Linked DNA regions of Cricetulus griseus. The protein of the gene in region 1 purifies or fractionates together with the protein of each later gene. This does not show direct contact. Links are inferred from orthologs where the notes say so. Each region holds a gene or a part of one and is shown in the gene's direction. Other genes may lie near its edges.

The links. The genes of interacting proteins can lie anywhere in the genome.
Region 2: the proteins of Kcna5 (region 1) and Kcnab2 purify together in Homo sapiens (co-immunoprecipitation; 3 studies listed by BioGRID and IntAct, counting the BioPlex papers as one, with this or other methods). This does not show direct contact. The link is inferred for Cricetulus griseus from reciprocal best matches to the Homo sapiens genes KCNA5 and KCNAB2.

Annotation. Positions count from the first base shown.
Region 1 is NC_048601.1:19,957,787-19,962,530, forward strand, and holds Kcna5 (potassium voltage-gated channel subfamily A member 5), read left to right. Parts: upstream 1-1,993; coding exon 1,994-3,802; downstream 3,803-4,744. UniProt on the Homo sapiens protein: Voltage-gated potassium channel that mediates transmembrane potassium transport in excitable membranes. Forms tetrameric potassium-selective channels through which potassium ions pass in accordance with their electrochemical gradient.
Region 2 is NC_048595.1:3,958,671-3,963,437, forward strand, and holds part of Kcnab2 (voltage-gated potassium channel subunit beta-2), read left to right. Parts: coding exon 1-22; intron 23-1,035; coding exon 1,036-1,079; intron 1,080-1,983; coding exon 1,984-2,070; intron 2,071-2,768; coding exon of another isoform or gene 2,769-2,813; intron 2,814-4,767.

The DNA of each region.
Region 1 (4,744 bases):
TCAGCAACCTTCTTGTACATATCCTTTAAAGACAAATCACACCCATGTGCATTTCCAGTGCTGACACACGTTTGTGTGCCCCTTGCTGTTCCAAGGAACTTGGCATCAAGTTTCCAAAACACCCACATGCATAGACCCATTCACAGACGAGAGGCTGTGACATCCCCGGAGTAGAATCTCAAACAATACTCAGGAAAAGAAGTAGACAATATAAGCAGACACTCAAAACTACAGTAACGTCTCAGCGACATAAAACCAAGAAACATCTGGAGGAGGCTGTGTCTGGAATTGCCAGGCATGCCTTGAAAAATCTTCCTCTTGGCTTTTGATGCCCACAGTAGCCTCATGGACTAAGGGCAAGGGTAGAGCGGGGTGAGGGGAATGGAACCTGGTGTGTCTATAGGTGCCGAGGACTATATGTTATCTCAGTCATCCTCCTGCCTCCTGTAATGGGAGCTAATGCTCTCAGGCCAGATATGGGAGGGGTGACTCTGGCAACTTGGATATGAATTCCAAGTTTTGACGCTTCGTATTTCTGTGGACCTGTGTGATTTTGCCAGTCTTTCTGTGCCTCCGTTTCTTTGTGTGTTGAAGGTAGTAATAGCACTGACTTACAAAGTAAATCGATGTAGCAACACGTAAGAATGACCTGGGCATTCTCCCTCTCCTTACGCTGGTCTCTATGCAGCTACTAGCTCAGCGGCTCCCCTGCACAATCTTTCCCCACCAGGATTTATAACCCTCTTTTCTCATTGTGGTTTTTGCAATTGAGGATTTGGTGGAGAGGTTGGAGGGATAGTGTAGGATGCAGGGTCAGGAGACCAGACAGCTTCTCTCTTGATGGGACTGCCCCTGAGTCTGTACTGGCAGCTCAGATCACCAATGTCTGGGTTGGAATCCAGGTTCAAGGGGTGCGAGGAGGTCTCAGCCTCCTACCTTTCAATGGGTTTGCAGAAAGATCAAAAGAACCCTGTCCCTCCCTCCCTCCCTCCCTCCCTCCTCCCTCCCTCCCTCCCTCTTCTCTCTCTCTCTCTCTCTCTCTCTCTCTCTCTCTCTCTCTCTCTCTCTCACACACACACACAGTTTGCCACTCCTTTCCAGTCTAACTCTTTCCAAAGAAAGGAGACTATTAATGCTCCAGAGTAGTGGTTCTCAACCTATGGGTCGCAACCCCTCGACAACCCTCTATTTCAAAAAAAATTTTACTTAACAGTTCACAACATTGGCAAAATTACAATTATGAAGAAGCAATGAAGTGGTTTTATGGTGTGTGTGTGTGGGGGGGGGGGGGGTGGTCACCGCAACATGAGGAACTATATTAAAGGCTCACAGCAAGCATTAGGAAGGTTTGAAGCCATTGCTCTAAAAAACAACATTCAAAGGACTCTCTTCTCCAGTCTCTTATCTGCACTCAGCTAAAAAGCCTTTCCCTTCCATCTAAAGCAGTTCCCATCCTCTGGTGTCCCCTTGGCTTTCAATGTGTTCCCAGGTGATCTGAGATCCTGAAGCTATTCTCATCCTGTTGCCCTGGGTGTTTCAGCACTCCTGGAACAACCTGTTCCTTGCTCCTCCTGCTCCTTCCCTCCTCCCCTTCCCGTCCATTTTTGTGGCGGTGCCCCAGCTTAACCCTCCAGAGAGACACTCTCTGACTCTGGCCCCAGAGGAGAAAAGGGAGGGGGAGGAGGAGAGGAGGGAGCCACAAAGGGCGGAGGCCGGGGAGCTCAGCCAGAGAGGGGCTGCCGAGGTTGCATCTGCTGAAGGAGGCTTGTCTGCTGCCTGGTAACCAGCTGCCAGAACACTGAGAGAGCGAGGCTGGGAGTAGGGGCAGAGGCTTCTTGACGTCAGGACCAGCCAACGGAATCAGCTACCCCAGCCAGTCCAGAGCCAGCTGGGCCCTCCGCTGGAGAGAAGCCCGAAGCAAGGCGCGGAGCTTGTGAGTTGGGGGTGTGGGAATCGGTTGTCTGGGGCGCAGCATGCCCTCTGCCCCTGGGCCATGGAGATCTCCCTGGTGCCTCTGGAGAACGGCAGTGCCATGACCCCCAGAGGAGGAGGGGAGGCAGCGGCAAGCTGTGTGCAGACCCCCAGGGGAGAGTGTGGGTGCCCTCCGACGGTTGGGTTCAGTAATCAGTCCAAAGAGTCCTCACCGAGGGGGCGCGCCACGCAAGATGATGAGGACCAGGAGGGGCTGTCTTTGACCCCTCTACCTCGAGAGCTACCGCAGCCAAGAGTGCCATCTCCTGAGGATGAAGAGGAAGAAGGCGACCCTGGCCTGAGCACAGTGGAGGAGGACCAAACTCCACAGGGCGCAGGGTCGCTGCATCACCAGCGCGTCCTTATAAATATCGCCGGGCTGCGCTTTGAGACACAGTTGGGTACCCTGGCGCAGTTTCCCAACACCCTCCTGGGGGACCCAGCCAAGCGCCTGCGCTACTTCGACCCCCTGAGAAATGAGTACTTCTTCGATCGCAACCGGCCCAGCTTCGATGGCATCCTCTACTACTACCAGTCTGGGGGTCGCCTCCGCAGACCGGTCAATGTCTCCCTGGATGTGTTTGCAGATGAGATCCGTTTCTACCAGCTGGGGGACGAGGCCATGGAGCGCTTCCGGGAGGATGAGGGCTTCATCAAGGAAGAGGAGAAGCCCCTTCCCCGCAATGAGTTCCAGCGCCAGGTGTGGCTAATCTTCGAATACCCAGAAAGCTCAGGGTCCGCAAGAGCCATCGCCATCGTGTCAGTCTTGGTCATCCTTATCTCTATCATCACCTTCTGCTTGGAAACTCTGCCTGAGTTCAGGGATGAAAGGGAGCTGCTCCGCCACCCCCCAGTGCCGCCCCAGCCCCCAGTCCCAGCCCCAGGGGCCAATGGCAGTGAAGCCAGCGTCCCTTCCTCTGGCCCCACAGTGGCGCCACTCCTGCCTAGGACTCTGGCTGACCCATTCTTCATAGTGGAGACTACATGCGTGATCTGGTTCACTTTTGAGTTGCTTGTGCGCTTCTTTGCCTGCCCTAGCAAGGCAGAGTTCTCTCGGAATATCATGAACATCATCGATATTGTGGCAATCTTCCCCTACTTTATCACCCTGGGCACCGAGCTGGCAGAGCAACAGCCAGGGGGCGGTAGTCAGAACGGTCAGCAGGCCATGTCCCTAGCCATCCTCAGGGTGATCCGCCTGGTCCGGGTGTTCCGCATCTTCAAGCTCTCCCGCCATTCCAAGGGGCTGCAGATCCTGGGTAAGACCTTGCAGGCGTCCATGCGGGAGCTCGGGCTGCTCATCTTTTTCCTCTTCATTGGAGTCATCCTCTTCTCCAGCGCTGTCTACTTCGCAGAGGCGGACAACCAGGGGTCCCACTTCTCCAGTATCCCAGATGCCTTCTGGTGGGCAGTAGTCACCATGACCACCGTAGGCTACGGGGACATGAGGCCCATCACTGTGGGAGGCAAGATTGTGGGCTCACTCTGCGCCATCGCTGGGGTCCTCACTATCGCCCTGCCTGTGCCTGTCATCGTCTCCAATTTTAATTACTTCTATCATCGGGAGACAGACCATGAGGAGCAGGCTGCCCTGAAGGAGGAGCAAGGCAACCAGAGGCGGGAGTCTGGGCTGGACGCAGGGGGTCAGCGGAAGGTTAGCTGCAGCAAGGCCTCCTTCTGCAAGACTGGAGGTTCCCTGGAGAATTCTGACAGTATCAGGAGAGGTAGCTGCCCCATAGAAAAGTGTCACCTCAAAGCCAAGAGCAACGTGGACTTGCGGAGGTCCCTATATGCCCTCTGCCTGGACACTAGCCGGGAAACAGACTTGTAAAAAGAGGCCCAGGCGAACTGGTGACAGCGCCACTGGGAAGAAGGGTGGTCCTCTTGAGCCCGGGCATCTGTTTTATACCACAGAGTATTTAAGCCCACCTGGTCACTGATGTCTGGATGCTTGCCTGGCTTTCTCCTTTTTCACCCTTCCTGCCACCCTGCCCTCTAACACCCCCATTTTTCCCTCCTCTTTACAGAACACCAAGGGTCACCTATTTTTAAGAAGTATCACATTCCATGACGCAGGAGCTGTTGAAATGGTGGGTACTGTGAGATGGATGTATTTGTAGCCAGTTTTCTATACCCAGCAGAGGGATAACTCAAACAAAAATGACTTTAAATAGCCCCAATCCCAAGAGATTCCATAGCCCTCCCTATCCCCGTGTTCCAAATTTACTTTACATGTGATTATATTTGTGTATGAGGCAAATATTATTTTTATGGCTGATGAGGGCATTTTTGTACGGTGGTGCACATGAAGAATATTTGGGTGTGTTCTTAAGATATATTTTGAATTACGAAAGAGTTGGGGGTCATCTTTTCCTAGGACACTTGGGGCCAGAGACCCTGAAAAAGATGTCCAGGTTCCTGTGCTGCGGGTGCTTTGTGTCTAGGGCAGAGAATATTCTAGAAGACTAGTACATCTTTTTTTTTTTTTTTTTGGTTCTCCTTAAACATTTCCTGTGACTTTCTTCACAGAAGCATTTTAATGATGTTGGAAGAAGGCATTTGAGAATTCATTCTTTTCATTTTGATACCAGGAAATAAAATGTGACTCCACTGGGGCAAGTGTCAGTTTCTCTACTGCCAATGTGTGTTTTGACATGCTAGGGAGTGAAGTCTGCCACTTGCTGTCTGGTTTTAGAGTCAGTGAAAATGATTTGACGGGGCTAGAAAACCTAGGAGGCTTGGCATCATCATTTTGATGGGTCCCTCTGAGCTT
Region 2 (4,767 bases), on another chromosome or scaffold:
CCAAGATCTTCTGGGGTGGAAAGTAAGTGCCACAGTTTGCAGTGCTCCCAGTGGGAGCTGATCACTGTAGCCCCTGTCCCTGTGGAGACACCACTTGTGAGGCTGGGGCAAGGTCACACTGTTGTCCTTGAGGAAGGAGGGGGTGTTGGCCTTTCTCAGCTACCTGAAGGCTGGGGACCTCACGCCCAACTGGTATATCCCCAAACTGCAAGCAGCTTTGGCTGAGTTTGTCTTTTACTCAAAACTTGTTTTAATTTTTATTATTTTTGCTTACATGGTGACATTATAAAAATTCTAGGAAACAGAATTACGAACTATCAAAGCCAGCTTAAAGTCCCTGGGCCACCTATCACACTGCCAGTTTCCAGGTGTCTGGCTCTATATTCTCTACAGGGCTGGACAAAGTTCATCTCATGGGGGTTATAAATATGATTTATAGGCTGAGAACGAGGCTCAGTCAGTAGAGTGCTTGTCAGGCATGCATGAACTCCTGTATTCCTCCTTACACCCTGTAAACTATGGTGGTTCATGTCTGTAATTACAGCACTTCAGAGGCCGAGGACTCAGAAGTTGAAGGTCATCCGTGGCTGTGTAACAAATTTGAAGCCAGCCTGGGATACATGAAACCCTGTCTCAAAACAAATTAAAAAAAAAAAAAAAAAAAAAAAAAAAAAAAACTTGTTGGTAATTAAAAAAAATCCTTTGCTGAGCTTCTATCTGTAACCCCAATACTTGAAAAGCTGAGGCAGGAGGATCTTGAGTTTGGGGCCACCCTGAGATATGCAGGGAAAACCTGTCTCAAAAGCATCATAAATAAATAAATCAAAGCCTAACAGCAAGGTGATATCGAAACCTAGAGCTCTTGTGCCCACTACCACCCTGGGGTCAGCGTGTAGGCATCCACCGGAGGGAGCCGTGGATACTCAGCCTGTAACTGTTACCCACAGATGTCACGCATTCTGATCTGCGTTTTCTCTTAGCATTGTGATCATAAGCATCACCCCCCCCCAACCGACTGCAATATCTGTCTTTCAGAGCAGAGACGGAGAGAGGCCTTTCCCGGAAGCACATTATTGAAGGTGAGGAGGGTCGCTAACCATGGCGCTGCCCCATGGTGCGCGCAGCCTGTGATCTCCTGAGGAGAGCTAAAACGTGTAGTGGCCCTACCTTCCCTTCAGTGAGTCAGCCCACGCCTTGACCCTGGAGCACACGGACCCCTTCTTTGACCATGTCCTCCTGCTCCAAAAAGACGCAGGAGACCAGCTACTGGACAAAGGCTGTGCCAAGCCTGGACAGACATGGTCAGGTTTCAGGCCAGGCTGAGCTGCGTGCTGTCTGAATGGTCTTGGGCGAGAGCCATCACCTCCCTGAGCTTGTGCCAAAAGGTCTGGAAAACAGGACTGTGTGAGCACACACCCACACGGGGCTGTTGGGAATAATGGACATGCAGCCCAGAGGGGGGTGGGGCTGGATGCGAGCTCTTCCTAAGCCACATTTATTCTGATCTAAGTGATATTTTTCATGAGAAACATCGTCACTGGGCAGGGGCGGGGAGAGGAGGTTTGGTACCTCCTCAGGCCCAGTGTCTTCATCCTGACCGTTGGCTCTCTGAGCTGTTGGGAGGTGTGGGTTGGTGACTGGTGTGTCACATACCACCAGCCTTTTGTACTGTCCCTCTGTGTGATACCATGCCCAGCTCTGGTTATTTCAGTACAGACCACCAGGTCCCGGCAGTAGCCCAGGGAGCGTGCATGATTTATAGGCTTAGGACATTTGGTCTGTGGTTCTGACGTCCCCTGGAATGGCCAGGGTGTCTGCCTCCCTTTAGAATGTGCCTTGTGTCTTGGCATTTCCTCAAGAACCTCACCTACCCTGAAGCTCCCCGGGACAGGGGCCTACTCTCTTCTGACTCTTGTCCCCTGAGCCAGGGATCGGGGGATCTAGAGGCACACTCAGTGCTGACCCCTCCCCTTCTTCTCCCAGGACTGAAGGCTTCCCTGGAGCGGCTGCAGCTGGACTACGTGGATGTGGTCTTCGCCAACCGCCCAGACCCCAACACGCCCATGGAAGGTAGGTCAGCCGGTTCCCTCTAGCTAGTTCATGCAGGCAGGACAAAGCCAGGCGAGCAGTGGTCGTCTCTGAGGCTCTGGTAACTGTCACGAATAACCAGACAACCAGGACAGAGGTGGCTAGGCCTCTGAGTGGGGGAGGGGTGGGCCCTGGCCCTGCCAGGCTGAGCCCGGGCCCTCATCTCATTCTGTAACCTGGCTGTGTTCCGGAGCAGCAGCTCCTTCTCAGCAGTTGGTGTTTTGCCCCATGTGTGGTGGCTGTCGGGGACAGTTTATTCTTTTCATTCTGGTTCCCCTGGGAGGGCTTTGAGGTTTTTTTGCTCTGGGGGTAAGTTATTACCTGAAGGAGAGGAAGCACTCAGTGCTGTGAAGAGCCGTTTGGGTTTCCTTAGCGTTTATTTATTCCCTCCACCCGGTCCCTCCATCTCCCCCACTTCCTGCCTCAGCGTCTTTCTCATTTATGCTTTGCTGCTTATGGGACTTGGGAGGTGAAGTTGAACTGGTTATTTTGTCTCCATTTGCTTTTATATATATACCACACTGCTGTGTGTGTGTATATATATATATATTCTTTCTTTTCAGCAGAACTCTGTTCTGTGGGATGATTTGTGCTCTTCTGTCCTGCCCTTTATCATACCACGCCTCTGTGTTCCCACAGCGATAAACTCTGGTCTCTTTAAATCTTTCTTTTATCACCAGGGGACCCATTTAGTTCCTTCAAGTCAAGGACATTCATCATTGAAGGTACACAGTACCCTCAGCCGACTATTGACTTCTGTGTCCGAGCTGCATTTTATGAGACAGTATTTTTATTTACAAGACTCTGTCCCCCATGACAAACTTCTCCATAAAATGCATAAGGGGTGGGGAAGTGCCCCGTGAGGACATCTTGCAAGCAAAGGGAAAGCAAAATGGTGTTGGAGCCCCCTCGCTGCCCATCCACGCTGCCATTCCATCCTTCCTTCCCAGTGTGCATGGCCCCCGCCCCTACTCCATGCTTGTGATGAACCGCAATGGCCGGCTGGCTTTCTGCCGGGGTCTCCCTTGATCTGAGGATGGTCCAGTCCCTGCCTGGGAACTTGACCTTGGATGGTGTAATGGGAAGGGTTGGAAAAGACTAGGTTTCCACAGAGGTCCTGGGACCCCAGACTGTGCAACCCCTGAGACTTACCTCTTTCATAGTTCATGCTTGGTAAGTTCTAGCCTCCAACAGAGGCAAAGAACACCAGCCAACAAGCTGCCCCATCCACCGCAATGGTTCCTTGTAAGCACTCTGGCTGCAGGTGGTCACTCACGTCTGCTCATCTGGCAGCCAGGATCAAAACGGAGTGATTCTCTCTCTTGAAGAATATATACATGAGCTGGCACAATGCTGAGGCCAGGGGCATCCTTGTGCCATGCTTGGTATCTGCCCCCACTGTACCGTCAGTAAACGGCCTCAGAACCCCGCCTCAAGGATGGGCCTGGGAACTGGGCAGCATTCCACACTCGGAGGGCTCCTGGCTGCCACCTGGTGCTGCCACCTGACCCCTCCCATGTATCATTTGCGATTGGGCTGCAGCTGGAAGGATTTAGCATCCCTGTTTCTGTCAGGCAGCATTAATTATTGAGGTGGAAGACAGTCATTCCTGCGTGTCACTTTCTGGGTCCACGGACGTGCTCTGTACAGGTGCACAGTGCTCCTGAACACATGCTCCACATCTAGCCTGCCTCTGCTCAGATCCCCGAGGTGCCCATGTCCCCCTCCCCCTCAGAATAGCCAATCATACCAGGCTCCTGGCCCACCAGCCTGATTGCCAGGTGTTAGACTGTCTCCATCTTCCTCATTGCATGGGAAGGGCATCGTGCAGTTTCCCTGGCTGTGATCTTCATGACTGTTAGCAGGCAGCTCTGGGGGAGGCTGTGGAGAGAGACTGGTGTGGGCCATGCTCACGGCTCCCCTATCTCTGGCATGTGAACCTAAGCCTTGGCTGAATAGGGAAACTGTGCTGCATGGTCTCAGGTGCCTCCAAAAGTGTTTCTAAAAGTCTTAATAAGGGCAGCTTGTCCAGGAGCCTGGGCTCTGTCGAGTGGGCCCTGGGACCCTATAAGTCTCCTGAAACTTCCCAATCCGGTTCTGACGTCTTACCGATGTAAACCATGTTGTCAGTAAAAGCCAGTGACCCAGGGAAGGTCCCAGAAGTCCAAAACTCCCTTCTCATGTGTTCCCTCACCTAGGTGGGGCAAAGAAAACTCCAAATACCCCCATCCCCGACCTCAGAATAGGCGGGCAGCAGGGGCAGAAGTAAGATATGGCTTACTCAGTGTTCTGGATAAACCTACTGGGACCATTACACCAGAAGCCCCAGTGGCCTCAGTGCCAGAGATGAGGTTGCCCTGGATTCCACCATAAATAGACCTTAGCCAAAGCAATACTTAGGGACCCAGAATGAGCAAGAAGATTCCCCCTCCCCGCCCCCACCAAAATAAACAGGGCAGACAGGAGCCAGCGCTGTGTCCCATGCCAGGAGGGTACTGTTGACCCACTGGCATTTTGAGGCAGGCTGTCAGGTCTGGTACTCTCTCGCCTTCCTTCTCCCACAGTCCTGCCGCTGCCAGGGAGCTCTGCTGTGGGGTGGGCGGGGCATTCAGAGGCGAGGCGATGTCACCACCTCTGTTTTTAGAAGCACTTGCTCCTCTATATTCCTCCCCTGCCTCT